2 linked regions of the Arabidopsis thaliana genome follow. The protein of the gene in region 1 interacts with the protein of each later gene in a pairwise test. Each region holds a gene or a part of one and is shown on either strand. Other genes may lie near its edges.

Region 1 (4,549 bases):
GATCTTAATATCCACTGACATTAACTCTGGCTGCATTGTTGACGAATTCAGAAAATAGTATAGTATCAGATGCAGGGCAAAATCTTACATGACTGAACTCATGCAACAGCAACATCACAATGCTAGCAAAGATTACAGAGGGTAATTACCTTAAACTCATTAATCTTGTGCTTCACATTCTCAATTGATAGTTTGATCTGAAATGAAATTATATAATTCAGAGTTGCTTAAAGAGACAAATCTGTGTACTCCAAATTGTTTTTCTTCTTATTTAAGGAATTACTGGAAAGGGAAAAGTAACTAAGTTTATAAATAGGAAACAACACATATCCCAAATACAAAGTGCTAGAACCAAAACTACCAATAGTAAAAAGTGGATCTGAAGTAAATAACCTTCGAATTTTCCTGAAGAAGGTTGGATCTCATCAGTTTTGCTTGATCAAGCTTTGCTCTAGCAGAATCTGATAGTTCCATCAGGTTATTCCTTGTCTCTTTTTTCTGAAGTATCAAGGATCCTAACCTCAGTTACTATGGAAATATTGAAAGTGTCTTGTAATGAAGTAAGCTTATAAGTATTCATAGGAGAACGAACATGTCCTTGTTGACCAGTTTCATTGCTCATATGGGAGATAAACCAGCCCTGGCCAAAATAGGACAACAGAAAGATAACTGTGTTGGTAAACAGCCAATGAGATCACATGAACAGGATATGCAAATAACAAACCTTTTGCTCCTCTAGTTTGGTTCTAGCTTCTTCTGCCGTCTTGAGATAGTTAGAACTACAATTAGATACAATGTAAATTCACAGGAGTCAGGTGATTCCAAAACCGCAATCTAGATATAGGGAGATGTTCTCTGAATTACCGTTTCGATACGAGTTTAGCAGATAAACTGTCTCGTTCTTGAAGAATAAGCTCCAAACTCTACAACAAAGGATACATGTTTACTAAGTGTAAGCACAAGATATACAACTGTGTGACAAATCACAGTACTAACTTCTGCTTCTACAAGACATACTCATGGCTTTCATAAGAGTTTATTAAATACCTGTGCAATATTAACTGAATCAGATTCCATCGACGAAATTTTCCTCTGCTTCTCAAGTATATGTGAGCATATCTCACCTCTTGTCCTCGTCTTCTGATCCGTCTCCTCTTTCAGTCTCTTCGTCTCAGACAATGCTTCGAATAGTGATACCAAAATAAGAAAACTCAGAATAACATCTCATCAAAAAGAGTATGTATGAAGCTGTGTACATAATGATCCAAAACAACCAAATCCAAATCTGAGCGAAGACATCAATGATAGCTAACAGCAAAAATATGTCAATCTATGGAGTTCCTAAACCAAATTACTTCCAATTAGCAATAATATCAACGAAGATCACGACCTAGAATCTTCCGTACGATTTCGTCCATATCAACGAAAAGTTTCTAAAATTCGAAAACGCTGAGAGAGATAGAGAGAAGCTAACCATGTTCGAGATCTTTTTCCAAGGTACTGATTGTTGTAACCTGCATCTGTTCCTCAACGGAGACCTTCGCCGCATGATCCTCCACATCTAACCTCAATCGAATCAAATCGCCAGTTGAAATTTCACCTCAAATCGGAAAAAATCAGAAGCGGAGATGAATATTATTACCAGTCATCTGAGAACGGAGAGTCTTCATATACTGTAGATACTCCTCCATCTCTTCTTCTTCTTCTTCACTTCTCGGATTTCTTCAATTCAAACCTAATCAATCAAATCAGAGAAATATATGAAATTTTTAGAAGTTTTGAATCAGTTCTTCACACGAATTTGAAGATCGGAGAAAAATCTTTACGCGAGCTCTCGCCTTCTGAGAGATTTCGAAATGGTGACAAATTTTTGAAACTAGCGGGAGAACGATAATAGTAGCATCTAGAAGAAGAGGGAAGAAATTACGACCGGGTCGACCCGGTTTAGTGATATGGACTTTATAAAGCCCAATTAAAAAAACACGTAAAAGCCCATTATAATTGTTTTAACCCGTTTACCCGAACCCGGTTCGGGTTCCTTTTAGCGGTGGAGATAAGAGAAACCGATTTGAGTTCTTCAGGTGTCAGTAAACATCATACAACTTCAAGTCTTGATTCAATTACTTGTTGGAAGTGTTCTTCGTCTCTAACTTGCTGAGAAATTCATCGAATTTGTTGAACAATTCTTATGGCGATTTCGAAAGGTAGATTGAAAGTTTGGTTCGATAAGAAGATCAGTGAACCACTTATCCAGATCTTGCGCAGGTTCTATATTCTGTTACTCTCTTCATATTTTGTTTTGATGAATTGGTCTCTATGTATCGTAAAGTTGGTTACTTGTTCATCGATGTAGTTTGATACCATTTCGTGGAACCAAGTAGATAACTTGTGCTACATGTTCACCTTTAGTATTGCTATGTGGGTTTCTTATTTTCAACACTAGAGACCATTGTGAAGAGTTGTGTAACCATGTAGCTTGTAAAGACTCGCCATTTTCTGTGTTGTGAGAGTGCTGATGTCGTAAAAATTTAAAACCAAGCTTGATTTGTTTCCCCTTTAGAGGTGCTGAGCCAAAGCAGCTGGCTTTTTCTGCGGCATTGGGTATTACCATGGGAGTATTTCCAATCTGTGGTGCGTTCTCGTGCTACTTTCTTTTGTGGAATAGTTGCTCATAGAACATTATAGTGTTTGTGAATCTCTAAAGCATTTCACTCAATGGGATATTTGCGTTTTGATAGGTGTTACGGTGTTACTATGTGGAGTGGCTATTGCGTCGCTTGGATCTCTTTGTCATGCTCCAACTGTGATGTTGGCTAACTTCATTGCTACTCCAATAGAACTAAGGTGACCAATTACTTTCCACTTCAAGTTTCCTTTAAAGTTACCCCTTAAATCAATACAAAGAGACAACACAAAACAGATTTTTATTCATTTTTCCAGTTACCAGTATCAAATTGAACCCTTATGTGTATTTTTTAAAATGTGTTTCACGTTGAAGTCTTGTGGTGCCTTTCTTACGACTTGGCGAAAAAATAACCGGTGGACCTCATTTTCCTTTAACATCTGATGCCCTAAAGAAGGTTTTCACAGGCCAAGCTTCCCGAGATGTTTTTTTAAGCATTGGAAATGCGGTAAGGTTCTTCTGTCTTAGCTTAGTGGTGTAGATGTTGGTGATTTCTATTTGATGCGAAGCTGCTCATCGCATTTCCTGCCAGAATCTTTAGGTTCAGTATCTTCCAAGTGGGATTTTCTCTAGTATGTTGTCATTTGTCAGTGTTTTTCAAATCTGAAGATAATATTGGTTTCCTCTCGTGATTTATGTCGATGACAAGTTGGTTTGGGTTGTCATATAACTGGCTTAAAACAAGAACTTATTTATGCAGCTACTAGGATGGCTCATAGCGGCACCATTTGTGATCGTTGCACTATACATCATGTTTCTCCCATGTTTCAAAATACTTGTCCGCAAATTCAGCTCTGTTGATTCAACCGCAAAGACACCTACAAAGGAAAGGATCGCGTAAAATGAAACAGTTATCGGTTTCAACAAAGCTAGAGCGTTGGAGATCCTATGACCTCATGTTCCTGCTATATCGATACTGAGGTCCGTGTTTGAGTTATCTGTAACAATAAACCTCCCTGTAAATTACAGTGTTTGAAACAGTTTAGGCCTTAGAGGGAGAATGTCAAAGGAAAATATAGAAGATAAGTCATGTACTCATATTCATGTCCAACTAAATATATAATGAGAAAGGCAAATGAATGTTTTCAAGACAATCAAAAGTACCCTTGAACTAACCAAGTCCTTGTTCTTCTTTATGGATAAGTACTTTATGAATCTAGAGAGAAAAAACAAAAGCAATCTGGTACGTGTCTCCATTTGGTTACAAAAGAGAACAATCAAGACCTTGAGGTTGACAACTTGGTGATGGCCAACAAAATGAAGGATTTGTCGGATTAATGGATTATGATCGGTGCAAGTAATAACGTTTCCCCTCCTCTTTGTTTCTTGTTTGCTTGTTCGGCCAGAATCTACGGGAAAAGTTATCTAACATTTCAATAATCTCTCAAATTCATTATTAATGCCCCCTAACTTTTTTTAATTTTCCTCTTTAAAAATAACAAGGAAACAGACAGTTGCCCTATACTGAAAGCTAAATGCTTCACCTGAAACCTCTCCTCTGCCACATCTCTCTTTCTCTCTCACACATACATTATTTCAATTATTGTTTTTTTTATAACTCCAATCTTGAATCTTGACGATCTCTGGTTTCTTCATTCAAAGGAGGAGACTTTTTGGGGTTTTTAGACTTTGCTTGTCTAGTTTTGTCTTGTGTGTGGTGATGTCTTATAGTAATTCAAACCCGGAAAATTATTCAGCTGCAACGAGCTCGCCGGAGCTTAAACTATATCAAGCATTTATCTTTTCTGTTCCAATTTGTTTCACATTTATTATTCTCTTCTTGTTTTACTTGATCTACCTCCGTCGTAGTAGCTCTGATTTGTCTTCTCTTGGAATGCGAACTACTTTCATCCCCGGGAACTCTCT
Region 2 (4,647 bases), on another chromosome or scaffold:
GAATGAACCAATCATCTTAAGAACAAACCGCATAAAAAGCTGCAAATTTTGAAAAGGGCTAATTATCGAAGCTAAGAAATCCTCCGCTTATGAATTGAGCTCAGCACAAGAATCCGAATACCAGAGATATACATCACAGAAACTAATCTAGGAATGATAGAAATTCTGATTCCATTAAGAGCAAACAAAACGGAGCTTGGTTAAACACTAACCAGAAAAGAAGCAGCAGATTCTAGTGACCGATAATGAAGTCGCTTCTAATCAGAGAGGGCGTGCGAGCCCCCGAAATTAGGGTTTCTAGGTGAAAACGATCGACAATTGTAAATCCTCACTCGTACCTTCGCTCTCGCTCCTCCTAATTTGGACCAGTGTCGCTATAAATTTCTGCAGAACTAACTAGAATGCTATGCCTAGTGAGTGTTACAATTTGTTTTGTCAGAAAAAAAACACCCTGGTCTTTGTTTTTTTTAATAAATGGCTGGAAAGCCACTTTCTCTGGAAAATAAAGCTAGAATGCCACCTTCGTATTTTCATTTTCTTTTACAATTTTGTTTTAAATCAAAAACTAAGGAAAGGTCCAAAAACCCAATTTCAATATTGAAAACTACCAACCCAACCTAAAGTATCCGATTATCCATTCCAAATTTTATGGTCCAACCCTGAACCTCAAATCTTAGTCCATTGGGTTTTAGCTTGCAAAATATATGTTTTGTGGTTTTGTGTGTCCCACTAGTGGCCACGACTTACTACAAGCTCAAGTATTCGCGATTTAGCTGAAGAAAATTGAGCGTGCGGATCAGCCAAATCCGACTTTTCATGGTTCAGGCGAACCGGCAGGGTTTTCGACCCACATTTTGTTCAATATATGAACCAAACTTATGATTATTACGACTCCAATTTTACCAGATACATCCACACACCAAACAAGTCTCATCTTTCTTTACACAGATGGTTTTAGACTTTTAGTTTTCAACTTTAAACAAACAAACAACACGTTTTGCTTATTAGCAACACTAATCTGTTGCTGTTTCTGTATTCATAGCCTTTGTATTTTTTTTTTCCGTGTATCTCAATGTTCCGCCGCACCCGAATGGTAAGCTCTACGCCTCAACTGAGATTCCCCTGATGGCTGTTGCAGATATATCCTCGTTGGATCATTAGGGTCCACGTACCTGCACATACACAATGACGACCACACAAGATTTTATGAGGAACAACAGCTTTTACTACTATCAAAAAACTTTCCGATTGATTTCTGATGGGACTTACGCATGTCTCATCATTTCGTCCACAGGTGTCTGAGCGGCTTGAAGAGGATCAACATGAGGAGCTGCCGCTGCTGCTTCTGCTGCTTGTTGCATTTGTCTGTTGTATTGTCTCACTGATGATATGAGATTCAAGAAGAGAGGAACAAATGTCCCACAACCACCTTCCTTAAATAGGATCTTGAAACTGTGTGTTGAATATAGAGCTCTATGCTCATTTTCTGGCACCACCTGGAAATTTTGTTACATGCCAATAAGTAAATATGTATAGTTTCCTTACAAGGAAAGAAACTATAAATTCTCCATGAAAGTTTGTACTTACAGGCTCCACTTGTCCAGCAATATTGTTGCAGTGAAATATTGGCTGATTAAATTTCTCGGCATGGATGTAAAGCTACAGAGTAACATATAATCCATAAGCTAATATGTAGCATGTAGTTCCATAACCAAATTTAACAGAGCTACACTTGTGCCATGTATTAACTAAATCAGAGACAAAAATAAGATAAAGTTACTGTACCAGGGGCATGTCAAAAGCAACAAAGTTGTCAACAGGCTTGCTTGAAACAAAGACCATCCGTATATTAGACAAGTAAATCACCCCCTTGGCCTTAACATGACCTCCATGCCCTCTGGATCATACAACAAGAAAGAACATCAGGGAAGTGTTTAAAGCCCAGAGCTCATATGTCTGTTCACTTCTGAGACTTATCTTATTTACAAGTAAACTTAATGGTTCATATGCTAGATGAGTGGATCTAAACCGACTCAAAACGGTACTAAAATGGAGACCAACAATAATCATCAAATCAATAAACCACTTAAGGAGATCCAAAACATGCGTGACGAGAGAAGGGAACACGAACCCAGGGATCTTGTCGACTTCAAACTCAACACCATCTCGGACTAGGACGAACATTTCATTAACAAAGGGAACAGGCATCCCATTGGGTAGTAATTGAGGGTTTAGCGCCATGAACTGCAATTCAGATTGATCAAGCCAATGATTATATAATTCCTTGTTCTGTTCTTCTTCTCTGCGTAACCTGATCACACAAATGAGAATATAAACACATTTCCAAATATACTTAGACAATCAGAAGATAATTCAAAGGAACATGCTCCAAATTAGCAAATAATTATTCACAGATCCAAGTAACTAGAGCCAATTAACATCCACATATCATCAGCTTCCAATTTCAGATATGCAAAAGAGCAAATAAAATTGAGGTTTTTAGCTAATTCAAATCGAAACGTTCCTATAATGTAGAAACAAAGACTAGGATTAATAATACGTGTTCAAAACAAATCAATCAACAAAGAAAATATCTAATTCCTTAGAGAATCAAAATCTGATAGCAATAAGAAAGCAGTAACAGAACGATCCAAGTTCAATTTCAAGCAATCCTTTACTCGTAATTTTCTCGCGAATAGAAAAGCTGAAGGAACATACCTGGGTCTACAGAGCTTAAAAGGATTTTGATCGGAGAGATTGAAGAAGAAGAGGATAGGGGTAATAAAAGGGCCAAGATCACAGTTTCTCGTTTTTTCCAGAAAAGAGACGCGACGCGGTTTATTCTTAAAACCTTCTAACCATTTTATTCGTCCCTCTACTTATTTCTTTAGTTCGATTTTCGCCCGCAATTTGATTTCGTTACAATTGTCCCCATCTACAGTTACTATTTGGGCCTTATTACATCTCAGATTAAAGGGACCGTTCAGCCCATTTTCAGTTGTTTTAACTTTGGTTTCGGTTTAGGTGTTTATTTATTTTTTTGACATCTTGTTTCGGTTTAGTTTTGGTTTGGATTGTTTGAGCTTTCGATTTTAACCAAAACGTGAAGACGAGTTTTAGAGATTCTTGTTATTGTTTTAGCTATTTATAACAAGTAGTTACCTAAAATGCCAAAATCATTAGCTTAAGATTAGGAGTTTTGTTGTTTTTAGAACATTTTGCTCAGTACAATTTAGAAACCACTTTCAAAAGAGTATTCAGCTATGCTTCTATAGTCCTATTATCTATATGAAACTTTTGATAAACTCTTCAAAATAATGATACAAGTTCTTTAATTCTGCAACAATTATACCATTTTAATAAAACAACCAATAAGATACAACAAGTGGCAGAAAAAAGCATATTATTCCCTTCCAAGACAAGTTGATCGATTTTGTGATGTGGGATGGAAAGTGTAACTTTGAGACAATAATGATTTGTAGATTATATTAGTAACAATTTATTATTTATCAGCAAAGACAGAGAGAGAGTTCACAAACAGCATCATAATGTAGAAGAGAAAACAAACAACAAACAAACAAACAAAAAACTTAAATACAAGCCTTAAGAAACTATCAAGGGTTGTGAATAGTATAATCTGCAGGTTTCTTCAACAAAACTTTTTTAACGGTAGTTTCTGTACACAGGGCTGTACATGCTGCTCTCTGCAAACTTGACAAGATCCTTTGCACGTGGCAGGTTCGACGCCAATCCTACACCACAATACATCGATTTTAGAACTTGAGATTAGAGAGTTCAGACAGTCTCATTAAAAGAGTTAAGACAGTTTCATTCAACTAACCGAGGTCATAGGTTTTGGCGGCGACACAGGCTGCAATGTTAGCAGAGATCTCTCTGATGTTTGAGAATGGCGGGTAGATCAGACCATTGGCGTAATGCTCTTCTGTCACTTGTGCGGCCAATGCTTCAGCTGTTGAAAACATGAGAGAGAGATGACATTGAGAATCTTTAAGTGTCTTTATCAGTATCCATGTTTGATTTTCTGAAGTTTATTTTTACTTACAAGCTGCGAGGAGCATGTCATCACGGACACGAATTGCCCCAGACATGATCAAACCAAGACCCAGACCAGGGAAAATGTAGCAATTGTTTGCCTGAAGTTAAGTAGGATAGTGGAAATATGATGTGAGCTCTAAGATTGTCAGATGTACAAAGTTGAGAGAGAAGAAGTTGTTGAAATAGCACGAACCTGGCCAGGCAAGTAGGTTTTGCCATCGTACACAACAGGATCAAATGGGCTTCCACTTCCAAAGATTGCACGACCCTTTTTTTAAGCACAATATATGATTAGATTCGAGGAGCAGCATGAAAACCAAATTATAATTTTGTTGTATAATCAGGAGTGAGGACATGAATCACATTTAGATGTCATATGAGACAATATTATACCTTGGTCCATGTGTAAGCCTGTTCAGCAGTACACTCAGCTTGAGAAGTAGGGTTTGAGAGAGCAAGAATCAACGGTTTCTATAAGCCAACACCAAGACCAGCATTAGAAAAATAGCATAAATACCTTGTTTTCTGAAAAAGCAGAGAGTAAGAACAAGAAGAAACCTCGTTGTTGGTAGCCATGGCCTCGACAACTTC

The links. Proteins that work in one complex are often made in the same cells at the same time.
Region 2: the proteins of AT1G33490 (region 1) and AT5G11680 interact in a protein complementation assay, tested with the Arabidopsis thaliana proteins (one large-scale study listed by BioGRID).

What each region holds. Positions count from the first base shown.
Region 1 is NC_003070.9:12,149,916-12,154,464, reverse strand, and holds AT1G33490 (E3 ubiquitin-protein ligase), read left to right. Parts: upstream 1-2,004; 5' UTR 2,005-2,188; coding exon 2,189-2,265; intron 2,266-2,353; exon of another isoform or gene 2,354-2,560; coding exon 2,561-2,631; intron 2,632-2,738; coding exon 2,739-2,844; intron 2,845-2,998; coding exon 2,999-3,131; coding exon of another isoform or gene 3,132-3,164; exon of another isoform or gene 3,165-3,383; coding exon 3,384-3,524; 3' UTR 3,525-3,777; downstream 3,778-4,549. Other genes in the region: AT1G33500 (tropomyosin), read right to left, coding at 1-30, 150-197, 394-498, 593-640, 725-779, 865-923, 1,048-1,181, 1,475-1,561 and 1 more; AT1G33480 (RING/U-box superfamily protein), read left to right, coding at 4,344-4,549.
Region 2 is NC_003076.8:3,757,057-3,761,703, reverse strand, and holds AT5G11680 (classical AGP protein), read right to left. Parts: upstream 2,896-4,647; 5' UTR 2,719-2,895; intron 2,312-2,718; 5' UTR 2,242-2,311; coding exon 2,132-2,241; intron 1,898-2,131; coding exon 1,786-1,897; intron 1,660-1,785; coding exon 1,588-1,659; intron 1,497-1,587; coding exon 1,270-1,496; intron 1,173-1,269; coding exon 1,070-1,172; 3' UTR 791-1,069; downstream 1-790. Other genes in the region: NADP-ME2 (NADP-malic enzyme 2), read right to left, coding at 3,664-3,752, 3,842-3,970, 4,064-4,154, 4,250-4,324, 4,450-4,527, 4,615-4,647.